2 linked regions of the Pelodiscus sinensis genome follow. The protein of the gene in region 1 interacts with the protein of each later gene in a pairwise test. Links are inferred from orthologs where the notes say so. Each region holds a gene or a part of one and is shown in the gene's direction. Other genes may lie near its edges. The genes, in order: CREB5 and FOSL1.

The links.
Region 2: the proteins of CREB5 (region 1) and FOSL1 interact in binary tests that used the Homo sapiens proteins (3 or more experiments, as listed by UniProt). The two-hybrid records come from large-scale screens. The link is inferred for Pelodiscus sinensis from reciprocal best matches to the Homo sapiens genes CREB5 and FOSL1.

The regions. Positions count from the first base shown.
Region 1 is NC_134712.1:195,670,370-195,677,788, reverse strand, and holds the start of CREB5 (cyclic AMP-responsive element-binding protein 5), read left to right. Parts: upstream 1-4,311; 5' UTR 4,312-4,604; intron 4,605-4,942; exon of another isoform or gene 4,943-5,010; intron 5,011-5,058; exon of another isoform or gene 5,059-5,333; intron 5,334-7,419. UniProt on the Homo sapiens protein: Binds to the cAMP response element and activates transcription.
Region 2 is NC_134721.1:32,505,388-32,513,618, forward strand, and holds the start of FOSL1 (fos-related antigen 1), read left to right. Parts: upstream 1-4,951; 5' UTR 4,952-5,150; coding exon of another isoform or gene 5,151-5,163; coding exon 5,164-5,285; intron 5,286-8,231.

The DNA.
Region 1 (7,419 bases):
CAATGGAAGGACTTCTGTTGATATTAGTGGATACAAGACTGGAAAGATAGAACAATAATATCCTGAGCCAAATTTGCATCAAATGTCTGCTTCTATTTCCCTAACAAGCATCTACTTTATATGATAAAAAAAGAACATATGAACTCTTAATGTACAGTGAATTAATGACCACAACATACCAGGTGCATTCAACTAGTGCCAAGTAAGTTAATTGATATGACAATGTAAATTAAATGTTCCTTTGTGTGACATATAGGTGACAGCATGCAAAATATCTGAGCAAAGATGATATCTATCATTGTAAGCACTGTGTTAAAGAGAAAATGTCAGATAGTATAAACCCAAAATGGGGGACACTTTCTACTCTGCGTCCACACTACCACTGAGTTCTGTCGACATAACGTCGACAGAACTCAGCAGTTTTGTCGACGCTGGTAAACCTCATTTTACGAGGCATAATGCCTTCTGTCGACAGAGTTTCTGTCGACAGAAGGTGTTATTGCATGTAAACTGTCCTTTGCGACCACACTACCATGTCGACAAAGGAGCTTGCTTTGTCGACAGAACTCAATGTAGTCTAGACGCTCTTTGTCGACAGAAGTTTTGTCGACAGTATCTGTCGACAAAACTTCTGTCGACAGAAGCCTGTAGTCTAGACGTACCCTTGGAGAAAGAAGCTCCTATTCCACTACTCAAATACCAGTGAATTTGACATCAGTCAGTTACATGGAAGCCCATCTTCCAGAATTTCAGGATATCAGTTATATGACATAGCATTTCTTGATTGACAAAGGACAGTGCAGCTTTTTCTCCTTCTATTGATCCTAATATATGAGCTTAATTGTACAGCATTCCTGTGCTGTTAAATAACTGACTTGTTTCTCCCCAGAAATAGCTGCAGTTGTGAGTGAACTGATTCTTCTGTTTATAGTTTGAAATATGAATTGGGAACACTTGAAATGAAAGGTGTTTTATAAACATAGGCTTATTTATAAGAGTCCAAGAATAATACCTGACAAAATGAAAACAAATTATACTGCAAACAGTTTATTCGTCCATATCCTAAGAAGCTAAACTAACTCAAAGTCTATCATCAGGACCTCTATGAGCTTTAAACCCTATATAAAATATGGGTAAAAGTCAAGCACAGTAATTATTTAACAGTGGTATAGAAATGCAGAGCTTTTATGTTGCATCACCGTAGGCTTAGGAGCTAAAAGCCTGCATCAAGATTCTGAGTAATTATTACTGAGTCAACCTTAAAAAACAACAAATTGTCCTGCAGCAACCTAGAGACTAACAAAAATGTAGGTGGTATCATGAGCTTTTGTGGGCACAACCCACTTCTTCAGATGAATGGAGCAAGGGTCCAGAGGTACAAATAAATAGCAGAAAAAGAGGGGATGTGGAGAGAAGGAGAAGGGGAAAAAATGGTTCATTAGAGTGTTCATGGTAAATGAGGCTAATAGAGTGGGCTGTAAGTGCCTGATACTTAGCTTTTTTATGTCATTAGGTTGTTGAATGTAGCAGCCCATCCAGTTCAGGTCTTTGTTCAAACCTTGACTAAAGGCATCAAATTTACAAATGAAGGCAAGTTCCACAGTTTCTCTCTCCAGATAGTTTTTTGAAATTGTTTTGTAAGAGGATAGTCACTTTTAGATCCATTAATGAATGGCCAGGCAAGTTAAAATATTCCCCAACAGGTTTCTGTGTGTTACCATTTTGAATATCTGATTTGTGTCCATTAATCCTTTGTCATATAGACTGTCTAGTTTGGACAATATACATGGCAGAAGGGCATTGTGGGCGCTTGATGGCATATATCATATTAGTGGATGTGAAGTTGTATGAGCCTCTGATCCTGTGGCTTATGAGGTTAGGTCTTGTGATGATGTTGCTTGTATAGATGTGTGGACAGAGTTGGCACTGGAGTTTATTGCAGGGGGTGGGTTCCTGGGTGAGTATGATGGAGGTGTGTTGTGTAGTTGCTGGAAAGAATTTGTTTCAGGGTAGGTGAAGATTGGCCTGTCCCCCAAGGCCTGTGAGTGAGAGGTCATTTTCCAGGATAGGGTGTAGATTATTAATGATGCGCTGGAAGGGTATGAGCAGGAGTGGCCCGAGGCTGGCTGTGGCAGCTGGCTCCCTAGGCAGCACGGCGCAATCGGCACCCCTGACTGAACGGCCATCAATGACCATAACTTCATCACGGGGCACCCCGGCGCCCTGTGATGTCATCATCGGGCGCCTGGGCCAGTGGTGCCTAGGCAGCTGCCTAGCACGCCTAGGCTCATGGACCGCCCCTGGGTATAAGTTGGGGCTGTAGGTGATGATCAATGGTGTTCTGTTAGTTTGTTTGTTGGGCCTATTTTGAAGAAGCTGATGCCTGGGTACTCATTTGGCTCTGTTCATCTGTTTTTTCACTTCCCTGGATGGGTATTTAAGTTTTAAGAATGCCTGATAGAGATCATGTAGGTGTTGTGTTAATGGCACGTTCCTCCAGTTAGCTCCAAACAGGATATATTAAGAGCGACAGTGTTTGTTTGGGTAGAGGAAACTAGACCATGGGTTGTTAGGTTGTTCTAGGAACACCCAGATTTGGGAGAAAGTTTAGTCTGGCTTATATTTTATTATTGAGTTAGTAATAAGTCAAGCTCCAGCAAGGGAAAGGGCTGGGCTAGGGCACCTATTCTACAGACTGTGTACCAGTTGGAGTAGGAAGGCAACAGAGTCAATCATATCTCTAGATGACTAGAAGGATACAATGCTAACCACTCTGTATAATACTTAGTATCTGGGATCAATGACCAGAGGTACCAGAGCTATAAATTGTGAAGCCTGAGGTGCTCAGGATGGGGTAAGGATGTTAAATTGTGTTTAATCAGCTAATTGAGTAGTAGATGGAATTTCCACTGACTACTTGATTAGTCGATAAGGGGGGAAACTGCAGAGGCACAGTGGGGTTAGTTCCTGGTCCCGCAAGCTAACCGTGTTGCATCTTTGCCTTTTACATGTATTAAGTGCTGCCAGGCGCTTAATACATTTAAAAGGCAGAGACGTAGTGGGGGGACTAGGCTCAAGTCAGGAATCAGCTGTCCTGGCTCTCATCCAGTCCCCCCTGCTGCGCTTCTGCTCTGCTTTTTAAATGTATTAAGCGCCATTTAAAAAGCAGAGGCGCAGCATCTGGGACCGAGTGCGAGCCAGGACAGCTGATTCCCAGCTCACGCCCAGTCCCCCCCCCCCCACTACGCCTCTGCTTCCCCTGCCCCAGCTGTGGAGATGATGCTCCCCTGTCCCCAGACCGGCTGCTGTTCACCACCTTGCTGCCCTTACATTTCTTGTAGGGGATGTTTATTACTTTACTCAGAGGAGTAGTCTAATGGACTCCTAGAACTAAAACGTGCTATAGTTTGCAACATTGAGGTGAAAATTGTATTTTTACATCTTACATGATGCTGATCATGTTGGTGCTTAATAAATAACTTGTGAATACATAAGGAACTGTCTTCATAGACCAACACCTAAGGAAAGTGAATTTACAGAAAAGTTAATTGATTTGCCTATGGTAACACAGCACATCTATAAGAGAAATCAGGAACAGACCCCCATCTCCAGACTCCTATTCCTTGTCTTCAGCCATTCTTTCCCCCCATGCTTGTGAGGATCTGATTCAAAGCCCTGTGGAGTCAGTGGCAGTTGTTTGTGTGGTAGCATGGTAGCTGTAAGACAGGAAGGCAAGGCACTTTGTTGTGTGTGTTTTACTTTTACCTTGGCAGTGTCCCTTTAACGCTGCATAGATAGGCAAGACTAAAATATCTTCTCTCCCTTGCTACAGCTTCTGATCTCTCCACCCATATCCCTTCTATGAAGCACAGTAATGCAAGTCCTGTTGTAAAACCCCCGTGTAAGAGAAGCAGTCATATGTAGCGATACGATCTAGAGATGAATGAGTTGGCGGTGGGAACTAAAATCCCCCCTAGTATTCCCCTCTCCCCCCAAAAATATCAGATTGAGGGTTTTAGCTCAATCGGGGAGAGATTGCTGCGTTGGGCCACCAGCCGCTACACAGTACACTGGCAGCGCGGGAGTTTAATGGGCGGACTGGAGCGGTTCTTCTCCTGGGGCACACTTCGTGGAGTGGAGCTCAACCCACCCAATTCGGGAAACAGCTCTTGCCCGGCCCCTGCGAATCAATGCAGCCTAGTAGGGAACCCGCCTCTTTGGACTCGTCCCTGCTTCCTCCCCAAATCCATAAAGCGGGAGATTTTTTCCAAGCTGACTCACACGCCTCATGTCAGTCCTGTCACATCCAGCGCTGCAAGCTGTTGCTTGAGCCGTGGCTGCTTTGCACTAGCCACCCGCCCCCTCTGCTCTGGGTGGCTGGCGGGCGGGGGCGGAGTCCGGGGAGACCACGCCCCCGCGGGCACGCCTACCCCTCCGCTCCCCCGGCGCACAGGGACCGCAATGATTTAGAAGTTCAGGAATCCCACGTGACGTCACCGAGGGTGATGTAATGCTTCTCTAAATAGAACGTATTGTAACCTTCCCTCAGTCCAACGTGGTTCCTTCACCCAAGCTGCTGGTCCTTTCCCTTCTACACTTGTTTGGTAAGTTCCTCTAAATCTTGCTCTGACTTTATGAAACTCACTTTTCAGTGCATTTAAAGTCTCGCTTCCTGGACGCGTTAAAGTACTTGTGTGCATAGGACTGAGCGGCTAGGGACTGGGAGCGTGTGTGAATTAACTGGGGAGAAAAGGGGGGAGGATTTAAAGTTAGGGGGGAGACATCTCATTCATTGCAAAGAGGTTTATTGTGTTGGGGGTGGTTTGAACGGGGAGGGGGGAAGGGGGAGTAAACAGTAGCTTTTTGCTACTAAGCCTGGGACTGTTTAGTTTGTTTTCAATGTATGATAGTACTCATTTGAGATTCCCCCCTCCCTTTCCAGGAGGCGCTTTAGTGGCTGCGATGTTTGATCAGTGAGATGCTTCTGTGAAGATGGCTTTTTGAACGTGTGTGTGTATCGCTCATTCCTCTCAGTGACTGGCCGGGTGGTGGGGGTGGCGGTGGGGGCACCGGAAAAGTTGCTGAAGCAGCAAGAAGCGCAGTGAGCAGTCGGAGCGAGCGAGGGCAGCAACTTTGCGATTCCTCTGTTCAGTACACCAAGCAAACAGTTGGAAAGTTTTGAAACTCTCTCGCTGTGTATGTGCGTGTGTTGAAACAAGAGCTAGCGAAGTCATTAGTATGCTGCCGGGACCGTAAGCGTGTGTATGCATGTGTGTCCGAGAACCGCTGAGATGTAACTGCTGCTGCCATCTCCCGCTGTCTGCACGGAGCATGTAGGTACAGACTGTGGCAAATTCAGTATCATTCTTGCTGTAGCTCTTTCGGGAGAGGATTTTTTTAACTAGACACAGAAGTCTGGAAGGCTGATGCTCCCCCCCCCCCCCATCTTTGCCTTATTTCTTTCCGGCATAACATCTTTTCTTGCCGCTGCTGTAATGACAGCTCTTGGGTTCCTAGAACTGCTCTCAGAAGTCTCCCTGTCTTCGTGAAGCTTTCGCTTTCTTCTTATCTGAACTAGATTCCAATCGCTGCAACTTTGATTTAAGTTTTGGAAAAGGCTTCTTAATCCAGAGCACCAGAGGCTCAACTGCCTACCGGTTGCTGGTTCACGTGTATGTATTGTTTCTTAAATGGACTTTTATTGGTGACTGCACAACATACTGATCTTCCCACCTCCCCTTCCTCAGCTCCAGTCCCCACATGATGCCTATTGTTATGGCTCAGGACTGGAGTGGGCTGTGTGTATATTTCGTTGTTAGGTGGCTGCATCGCTATGTTTGGTTCTCTCCCGCCGCTCCCCCCCCCCCCCCCACGCCCTTCTGACATATCTCTGGGAATAAGGCTGGATACTGGGCCATTACGTCATTCTGCAGACTAGTAAGTGTTTGATTAACAGCCTTAGATACTGAAGGGTTCAGGGGGTTAGAAGTGCTGACAAAGCAACTCTCCCTTTTACAGTCCCCACTGGCTAAGCACATCTTTTTTAAGCCCCCCCCCCCAATTCAATCCATATCTCCTTTATTACTCCTGTGATTTAGGCTTCTCTCTCCTTCTCTTTAGATAACTTTTGTCCTTCCAGAATTGTAAAGGGTTCTGGAATGTAATGGGAATACCTGCTAAACCCTGCCCTTTCTGTTATTTATGTCCAGGCATGAGTGAGCCGTCATCTCCCGGCTTTATTATAAATGTTGCAGTCTGAAAGAGAGAAGTGGTTCAAAGTGGATATTAATTCAATAAAATGATGGTCCACATGTGTGTCTTGTACAATTAAAATGTCTAAAGAGTACTTACTTAACACAGTATGACCAGAGGATTTCTGTATTTTATCAATAGGAAACAATATACAGACAGATGGAAACAGATGTTAGACCAAAGGACAATAAGAGTTCTTGGGTTTTCCTTGAGACCATACGTTTCAAAGATAACTCTTCTTCTAGTTGCACCAGAGTTCCTTTGCCTGGCCATTTGGAGAAAATATAGTGTGTCAAATAACAGTGGAGGAAGAATTTTCTTCTGAAACTGTCAAGTAGAAATAATCCAGAAACCAGACTGTAAAGTTTTTTTTTTAATAAATTGTTTCTAGAGTTATAGGGTGAGAACAAAATCAAAGAAAATCTATACTTTGACACAGTTTGTGGGAATTTGTTCTGAAGTAGATACGCTTTGGTAGAATATTAAAAAAAAAACTATAGAAAATGTACAAGTTTGAATGCCCCCTTTGGCATGTCTTTGGATGAAGTCAGCATTACAATGTTAAAAATACTTTTAAAATGTTAAACTTCTCATTTGTTACTCCTTAGTCCTAAAGGGAGCAGTGCAGGTTGCAAAGCATCAGAAAAAAGTGTGGTTAACGATCAGTGATTAGTGATAAGTGATTAGTGGTTTTATTCAAACTGTTACCTCTGACCAGAAGCACACATCAGAGGATTAACAGGCTCTTTAGATAAATGCTCATTAGTGGAAGGAGAAAAACGAAGATAATAGGCATGCACACAGGGACAACTTTCGAGGAAAATCATTCCTGTCTCTGGAATAATAAGCTCTATTAGCAGAAAGCCTCTTTAAATTAAAAGTTGCTTTTATCTTGTAAATCAAAGTTAGATGTAGAAGGTCACTCTGCTATTATAAGCTAAATTTTCCCATATCCACTAGATGTGGATTATCCCAGTTGTGATATTTATTTAAATAAACAATTGAATCTTTAAAGAAACTGAAAATTCTCAAGTGCCAAAGTCCTGTATTTTAAGGTATCCACTTCAAACATAGAAAGGGAAGCCTGCTGTCAGCTAACTAGATGGCGTAGTACTGTTCTCTGTGAACATACAGTTCTGGATTATAAACCAAGCAAGTTGCTGCTTG
Region 2 (8,231 bases), on another chromosome or scaffold:
AAAAGGGCCAGTGTAGACAGCTCAGATTTGTTTTCCGCAAAAAAGCCCCGATCATGAAAATGACTATCGGGGCTTTTTTGCGCAAAAGTGCGTCTAGATTGGCACGGATGCTTTTCTGCAAAAGCGCATTGTTATAACGTGAACTCTGCGCCAATCTAGATGCTCTTTTCCGAAAATGCTTTTAACGGAAAACTTTTCCATTAAAAGCATTTCCGGAAAATCATGCCAGTCTAGACGTAGCCCTGGATTATACTTGTCCTAAAATGGGGCTGCAGCATGGAGACCTTCTTCCACAAATGGCCTGCTGTAGCCCCCTTCTGAAGGGGAAGTGGTTCTCTGTGGACCCTTCAGCCCTTGGCCTCTCTGTTTGGGTTGGTGTGATGCAGACACCTCAGGGCATGGGGCCCACAACTCAGTCCACCAGCAGAGCTGTGAATGGCCTGAAGTTATGAATGACTTAGGTCTATATGGGGTCAGGTATCCCCTAGAGGTGAGAGGCTCTATAGCCCCTTACCCAATCCCCTGAGCCGGTCTGGGGTCACATCAAATCCAGTGCCCCAAGAGGAGAAAGGCCCTGTATCCAATCCCTCTTTCACTCTGTCTCACGCAGGCTATGTCTACACTACACTGTTCTTCCAGAAAAAGCTATGCACATTGTGAAGTGCAAATTGTGTAGCTTTTTCCGCTTCTTTTTTCAGAAGAGGCTTTTCCAACATTTGGTCCATCTACACTGGGCTAAATGTCAGAAAAAAAATCTTTTTTGGAACATCCCTTCTTCCTTGTAAAACGAGATTTACAGGAATGCTGAAAAAGTGCATCTGCTCTTCTGAAAAAAATTCAGAAGATCAGAGGTGTTCTCTGGACACAGCAGAGTTTTTCTGGGACTCTGGTATCCCAGAAAAACTCTGTAGTGTAGACATAGCCCCAGTCTGACTTTTCTACAAGAATCTCTCAGCACTAAGACAACTGACTTGAATGCTCCCTCCTGCTCCACAGACACCCGCTGCTCCAGGACGGTCTCCTGGCTGGGCATGGTGCCAGCAATTCAGTATGCCAGCCTGGCACCATCTGCCTCAAGCCCAAGGAGGGACCCACCCTCATGCTAAGGGGCTGCCATGCAACTGTCTGGCCTCTCGGAGCTGGGAATAGAACCCAGAAGTCCTGGCTCATAGGGATCTTCTACATAGCACGGCAGGTAGGAAGCAGGGCAGGGCTTCAGGGGACAGGGCCAAAGGGAGGTGGGAGCAACAGGAAGGGGCAAAACTGCTTTTGGTGAAAGGCACAGACCATGAGCCTCTCTCTTAGGCCAACCCAGGCAGATGATTTACTGGGATGCTGGAAGGGCTATGGGGACTGCTAGCTTAGAGCAGCATGGGGGTGTCAGGGTGCCTGGGGCTTCTCTGCGTTCTGGGCGGCATTGGTGTGCATACTGGCACCCCTAGCCCTTGTGCCCACGATTGGGATGGGCAGAGATACCCCTTCCCCCGCAGACTCATGGCCTCTCATGCTGTAGCACCTCAGCCTGACAGTATTTGAGCCTCAGAGCAGAGGGAGGGCCCTAAACTGTGGGGGAGGGGAGATAAGGAAGGACTATCCCCCCGCAGCCCACTGCTGAAAGTGGCCCTGCCAACTCACCAGCTGGTGGGGGGGCGGTGTACATGTTTGGTGATCTTCAGGCAGCCTCCGCCCCACAGCCCTGCAGCACCCACAGTCCCTCTGCTCTAGCAAGCAAGGGGTTAACATGCTCTGCGTGTCCTCAGGAGATGGTAACGCTGGTTCCCTGCTGTCCTTGAGTCCCAGAGAGGTGGCTCTTGAGCCGAGCTTAAAGCCCCCTCCCCCCGCCCTGGATCGCCTCCTCCCCCCACCCTGGATCGCCTCCTCCCGTCTCTGCCACTGCCCCTCAATCCCGACTTGCAGCCTCTGCTCTCCCAGCCCTGGAGCTGTGCCCGGTTAGGCTGGGATCCAAACCCCGAGTCGCCAAGTGAGTAAAGTCAGGAGGAAGAGGAAGGGTGAGTAAGTGGATGAGCACACAAAGCGCTCGGCCGTCTCCTGTTTGGGATTTGGCCCGTTCCTTCCATAGACACGGAGGGGCCCTGCCTCCTGCCTCGCAGCCACACACACTTGTGAGTGCCACGTGCCGATCTGGAGGGAGCCTGTGTGAAACCCCCCGCCCCCAGCTCCATCGCTCTCCAGGAATCCGCCGGAAACTGCTGCTGCTTTCAAAGGCGGAATAAGATGACCGGAGAATTTGAAATGCTGGGACACACCCAGCTCTGCCAGTGCCCCTCGGTGCCAGCCCGCAGCCCCCTGCTCTGGGCTTCCCCCCCAGCTCTGCCAGTGCCCCTCGGTGCCAGCCTGCAGCCCCCTGCTCTGGGCTTTCCCCCCCAGATCTGCCAGTGCCCCTCGGTGCCAGCCTGCAGCCCCCTGCTCTGGGCTTTCCCCCCCAGATCTGCCAGTGCCCCTCGGTGCCAGCCTGCAGCCCTCTGCTCTGGGCTTTCCCCCCCAGATCTGCCAGTGCCCCTCGGTGCCAGCCTGCAGCCCTCTGCTCTGGGCTTCCCCCCCCCCCCAGATCTGCCAGTGTCCCTCGGTGCCAGCCTGCAGCCCTCTGCTCTGGGCTTCCCCCCCCCCCCAGCTCTGCCTGTTCCCCTCAGTGCCAGCCTGCAGCCCCCTGCTTTGCACCCTCCATCAGTGCTACTCAATGCCAGTCTGCAGCTCCCTGCTATTCCAATCCTGGGCTCCCCCTCCCCATGTGGTTCTGCCGGTGACACTCAGTCCCAACCTGCAGCCTCCCAGCATCTGTCCCATGCTAGTCTCCAGGGAAATGGGATGACTGCATTGCTCTGTGCTAAGGGTTTAAATACCGGGGAGCAGGGGGGACAGTAGCTAGGATGGGAGTCAGCCATAGCTCCCGATCTCTCCTTGGTCCCCAAGGCCAGTGGCAGGGTGCCAGCTGGCTGCTCTCTGCCCCCCATTCCTGCCAGGTTAGTCACCGGGAGCATGAGATCAGCTGCATTCCTGTGTCTCACATCCTGTCCTGGTCCTTGGGGAGATGGATTGTTAACCCGCACAGGGCCAGACCCTAGGGATCATGGTGCATTGGTCGGGGAGTCACTGGCCCCCACCCTGTGGCCACGGCCCAGAAGAACTGATTGTTTGGAGGTTGGGGGAAGCGGCCAGGACCCCTGGGGTTCTCTTCCTGGTGGTTGGAGGGGGTTCTAGCGGTTAAGGCAGGGGACTCTGAGCAACAGGACCTCTGGGTTTCATTCCCTGCTCCCCCAGTGACCTGCTGTGTGACCTTAAAGGAGCCTCTTCCTCTCTGTGCCTTATTTTCTCCTTCCACATGGGATCTGTTTAGACAGTGAGCGCTTCAGGACAGGGACGGTGTCTCCCTGGGTCTGTGCTGTGTCTGGCACAACGGGGTCCCTCGCTCCACGGGGTCTCCGAGCAGTAGCGGGAGGTAACTCTGGCGCTCTGGCTCCGCGGGGCAGCGGGACGGGAGCCGGACATGCTCTCACTCTCTGCACTGGGCCCAGCCCTGCCAGTTTCGCTGGTAGGCGCTTTCAGTTCCTGCTTCTGACCAAAGGCGTCTGCTGCGCGTCAGGAATGTACACCCCCGCAGCCCACTCGGAGCGAGGGAAACCACCAGCTGGGGGTGGAACCAGGAGGCAGGACCCCAGCCCCCTCTACTTTAACCCACCTGACCCCACTCCTTAACTAGAGCTAGGGTGGGATGGTCCAGGGGCCTTGGCCCCCGCCCCTGCTCTAACACAATAGGCCCCCCTCCCTCCTTCCAAAGCTGGGGACAGAATACAGTTCTGAGTCCCACTTAGCTGGCCACTTCCATTCTCCACACTAGGGCATCTTCCAGCCGCTTACGGGGAGGGGAGACTGTAGAGTCTCAGCAGGGGTGGGTGGGGGAGTCAGGCTTAGTCTCTGTTCAAAGAGCAAGGGGCTCTGCGGTACTGCAGGAGGAGAGGTCGCAGCCAGATTGCAGGGGGATACGCCTGGGTTGGGCTGGGTGTTCCTATTCTAACCTTGGGGGGGGGGGGGAATTCCAGCTCCTGCACCGCTGGGGGAAATGGGGATTCACGGGATTTACAATCATCTCATTGGGCCCCAAAACCTGGCAGCGCCAGGCATGTGCGGGGGGGGGGGGGGGGGGGGGGGAAAGCGAGCACCTATAAACAGGGCCCGGCCCGCATTGCTCCTGGGGTCCTATCCAGCCAGCCCCGAATTCATGTATTGGACGCTGGGGAAGGGAGGGAGGGGGGGGGGGAGAGTGTCTTTCGCTGCGTCTTTGTATCTTTGACATGTGAAAACCATCTACCTGGCCTGATGGGAGTGTCTGTCTGTCCGTGTTTAGGCCTGTTTATTGTTGCGCGGGGTGTGGAAGGTGCCCATGTGTGTATTTCTGTGTGCAACAACGATGCTTGTAGTTGTGCAACAGCGATGCATGTAGCTCCACATCCATCGTGGTTGTGAGGGGATGGACGTGTTGTTGCACAGCTGTGTGTGGTACAGAGGTGCACGCCGTGGTGGTGTGCAGGGTGTGTGCTGTAGTAAGAGTGGGGTGGTTGTACATATGTGAGCGGTGTTGGGTGTTGCACCTGCCTGAGGTTCGGGGTGTATGTGAAAGTGTATAGGTGTGGGTGTTTGTTTGTGTGGCGTTGTTATTGCAGTGCTGCGACGGGATCTCCGATACGCATCTTGAACAAACAGAGTTTGGAAACAAACACCGAGGGGAATCCTTTACTATTGCAGAGCAAGCCAGAGGAAATCATACTATATATGGACATCTACGTCATCGAGCACTGAGTCAATCCCCAGACCGTACCAAGTAGATTTAGAGTAAGGGGGAAAGATTGACTTGGTTGTCCTTTTAGGGGCTCACCAACTCTGATTCCCCTAAAAAGGGTGCATCTTAATTGAATAAGTCTGAGAAACACCAGAGTGGGTTACTGGAGCGGGGATTCTCTGCTTCCTGATGACTTGAAAAGGGCGTGAGGTGGGACTCGCCCCTCCCCTGCCTAGACTAAAGTGAGCAGGTCCTGGAGTACCCATTCATAAAAAAAGTAACTTGGAGGGAGCCAGTTTAGAGAAGCGCTTGGCGGACTGACCCGGCATCTTACGGCCCCAGAGCAGATCTAGACATGTTCAGGAACTATGGAGCGGGCAGTACGGATGGCCCGGGATCCTCGTACAACCCTCGCCCTCAGCACCCTGCCCTGCGCAGCATGGGATCGGCCGTCGTTCCAGGGACTCCGGGACCAGGGCAGCCGCAGCAGGTAAGGGGGAAGCGGGGCAAAGGGAAAAGAACTAGGGGGCAGTCGATCTGTCTCCAATCCCCATACCTATTCCGCTGTGTCCGTCTGTCGGTCCTTATTCACACCTCCCCATCTGCCCGTTCCCATGCGCACCTGTCTGTCTGTCCGCCCCCATGCACACCTCCCCTGATGTCTGCCCGGCAGTGCCCAGTCCCCATGCACACCTCCTCCAGAAGCGCTGGGAGGGTACTGGTTTCACAGTGGCTCTAGCGCCCCCATGATACAAATTGTTCCAGCTCCTCTTTCCCCACTGTCAGTCCACTCCCATACCCGCACTGTCTGTCAGTCTACCGCCATACCCCCACAGTCTGTCAGTGTACACCCACTCCTCCACTATCAGTCTACTCTCACACCTCCACTGTCTGTGAGTCCACCCCATTTCCCCACAGTCTATGAGTGTACCCTCATTCCCCCACAGTCTGTTGGTTTACCCCCATTCCTTCACTGTCTGTCATACCCACTCTCCTGTCTAATCTATTCTCTAGCCATCCTCATCCCCAGCTGTCTATTCATGCCACTTTCTGATTGTCCTTCCCTTCCTTCCTCACCCACCTAGCTCGCCACCTGCCCGCTAGCCAGTCACCGATCCCCTCCGCAGGCTCTGTCCCGCCTGCCCATGCTGTGCTTTCCCTTTCCTTTCTCGTTTTCGCTCTCGTTTCTTTTGGAGGAGCGGGGGGAGGGGAGCCCTCACTCTCCCTCCTGGGGGGAGCCCCGGTGACTAATGCTCCGGGTTGATTCACCCCACCGCGTGGCGCCTGCTTGTTTGCCCCCTCCCCCCCACACGCAGGCACTCGCGTGCAGACAGCAGAAAAATGCAGGGGTTTCCCCCGCCCGGCGCTCTACAGCAGAGTGATGGGGGGGGGGGGCTCCCTACTCCGGCAGCTGACTGAGCCTTACGCTGATCTTGCGCTGTGGGGGCCTGGGGTGTCCGTGTCCCTGCCCACCGCCCAGCCACCGTAATGAGACACCCCAGAGACCCTGTTCCAGTCGGGGGGACTCCCCGTCAAATGTCATCCTACAGGGTTTATGACACACAGTATACCCCATCCAGGAGGGGGCTGAGGAAGCACATGCAGCAGGGCATCTAAGTTCAGCGGGTTGGTGGATCGGCCAGACCCGCAGCACTTTAGCTCGGGGAGGGGAGCGGGGTTTAGGAGTTAGAGTTGGAAAGGGGAAGGCAGACGCCTGAGCTCTACGGCTGGGGGTGATGGGAGTCCGGACTGCTGGGTTCTGGGCCAGCTCTTGGGCAACCACTTCATCTCCGGATTCCTCCGTCCGTGTCCCGCAGGACGGGCACGGAGCTGAAAATCCAGCTGAGGAGGAGGTCAGGGCCAGCTGGGTTTACGACTCGCCTCCCTCTCTGGGCTGTTCGGAGCCGTGGGAGAGGGGGACCCAGGCAGTCCACTGAAGACAGACCCCAGGCAGCTCCTTCCCACAGCAGCTGGATGCGTGTAGTGGGGGCGGGGGGCTCCAGGCTACGGCAGCAGGGCAGACCGGGAGATGGCTCCCGCTGGAGCTCCAGGGTGCTAAGTCATGCCCGGTGAGTCATCAGAACCGGCGGGGCTGAGTCACGGTCGCGCTCACCCCGCCTGGCCCCGCCATTCACCCCAGCCCGTGGCCAGGGTGCTGAGATTCCGCCGTTTCCTCTTGCATAAGGGCGGCCCTGCGACAGCTGCCGGCCCCACCCCACTGCCAGCTGCGGCGCCTGCCGTCCGCGTGCCAACAGCTGCCGCACAGGGGCTAGAACCCAGCGTCCTGACCCCCAGCTGCCCCCTCCCCTCCCAGAACTGCCCACAGAACCCAGCGTCCTGACCCCCAGCTGCCCCCTCCCCTCCCAGAACTGCCCACAGAACCCAGCGTCCTGACCCCCAGCTGCCCCCTCCCCTCCCAGAACTGTCCACAGAACCCAGCGTCCTGACCCCCAGCTGCCTCCTCCCCTCCCAGAACTGTCCACAGAACCCAGCGTCCTGACCCCCAGCTGCCCCCTCCCCTCCCAGAACTGCCCACAGAACCCAGCGTCCTGACCCCCAGCTGCCCCCTCCCCTCCCAGAACTGTCCACAGAACCCAGCGTCCTGACCCCCAGCTGCCTCCTCCCCTCCCAGAACTGTCCACAGAACCCAGCGTCCTGACCCCCAGCTGCCTCCTCCCCTCCCAGAACTGCCCACAGAACCCAGCGTCCTGACCCCCAGCTGCCTCCTCCCCTCCCAGAACTGTCCACAGAACCCAGCGTCCTGACCCCCAGCTGCCTCCTCCCCTCCCAGAACTGCCCACAGAACCCAGCGTCCTGACCCCCAGCTGCCCCCTCCCCTCCCAGAACTGTCCACAGAACCCAGCGTCCTGACCCCCAGCTGCCTCCTCCCCTCCCAGAACTGCCCACAGTACCCAGCGTCCTGACCCCCAGGCCATTATACTCCCCTGCCCTCCCTCCCAGTACCAGCAACAGAACCCAGGCATCCTGGCGCCCAGCCCCAGCTGCTGTAGCCACTAGCCTTGGCAGGGGGCCTGGGAAGCTCCGCTCCCATGCCCAGCCCCTGAGGTGTGCTCTCTCTCTGACACAGAAGGCGCGGCCAGCCTGCTGCCCCAGGGCTGGGTGGCACCAATACCCTGCGGGTGACACCTGCACACCAGGGCTGGGAAGGGACCCACAAGGCCAGGGAAACTGGGTCAAGGGTGGGGAGGACAAAGGGCGGGTTATCTGCGGGTGGGATTTCCGCACACACCCCTGCTGCTCACACGCAGGGACACGCCAGATCGTGCTGACTCAGCAGCCCTGGGAGCTGGAATCACCAGTGTGTGCCCAGAGTGGCAGCACAGAGCCCTCTGTGATGTCCCACCCCCAGCAGGTGCCTTGCCTCTGCCTCTCGGAGCCCTTGGCCTCTGTTGCTGAGGGAACGGACTAGAGCCAA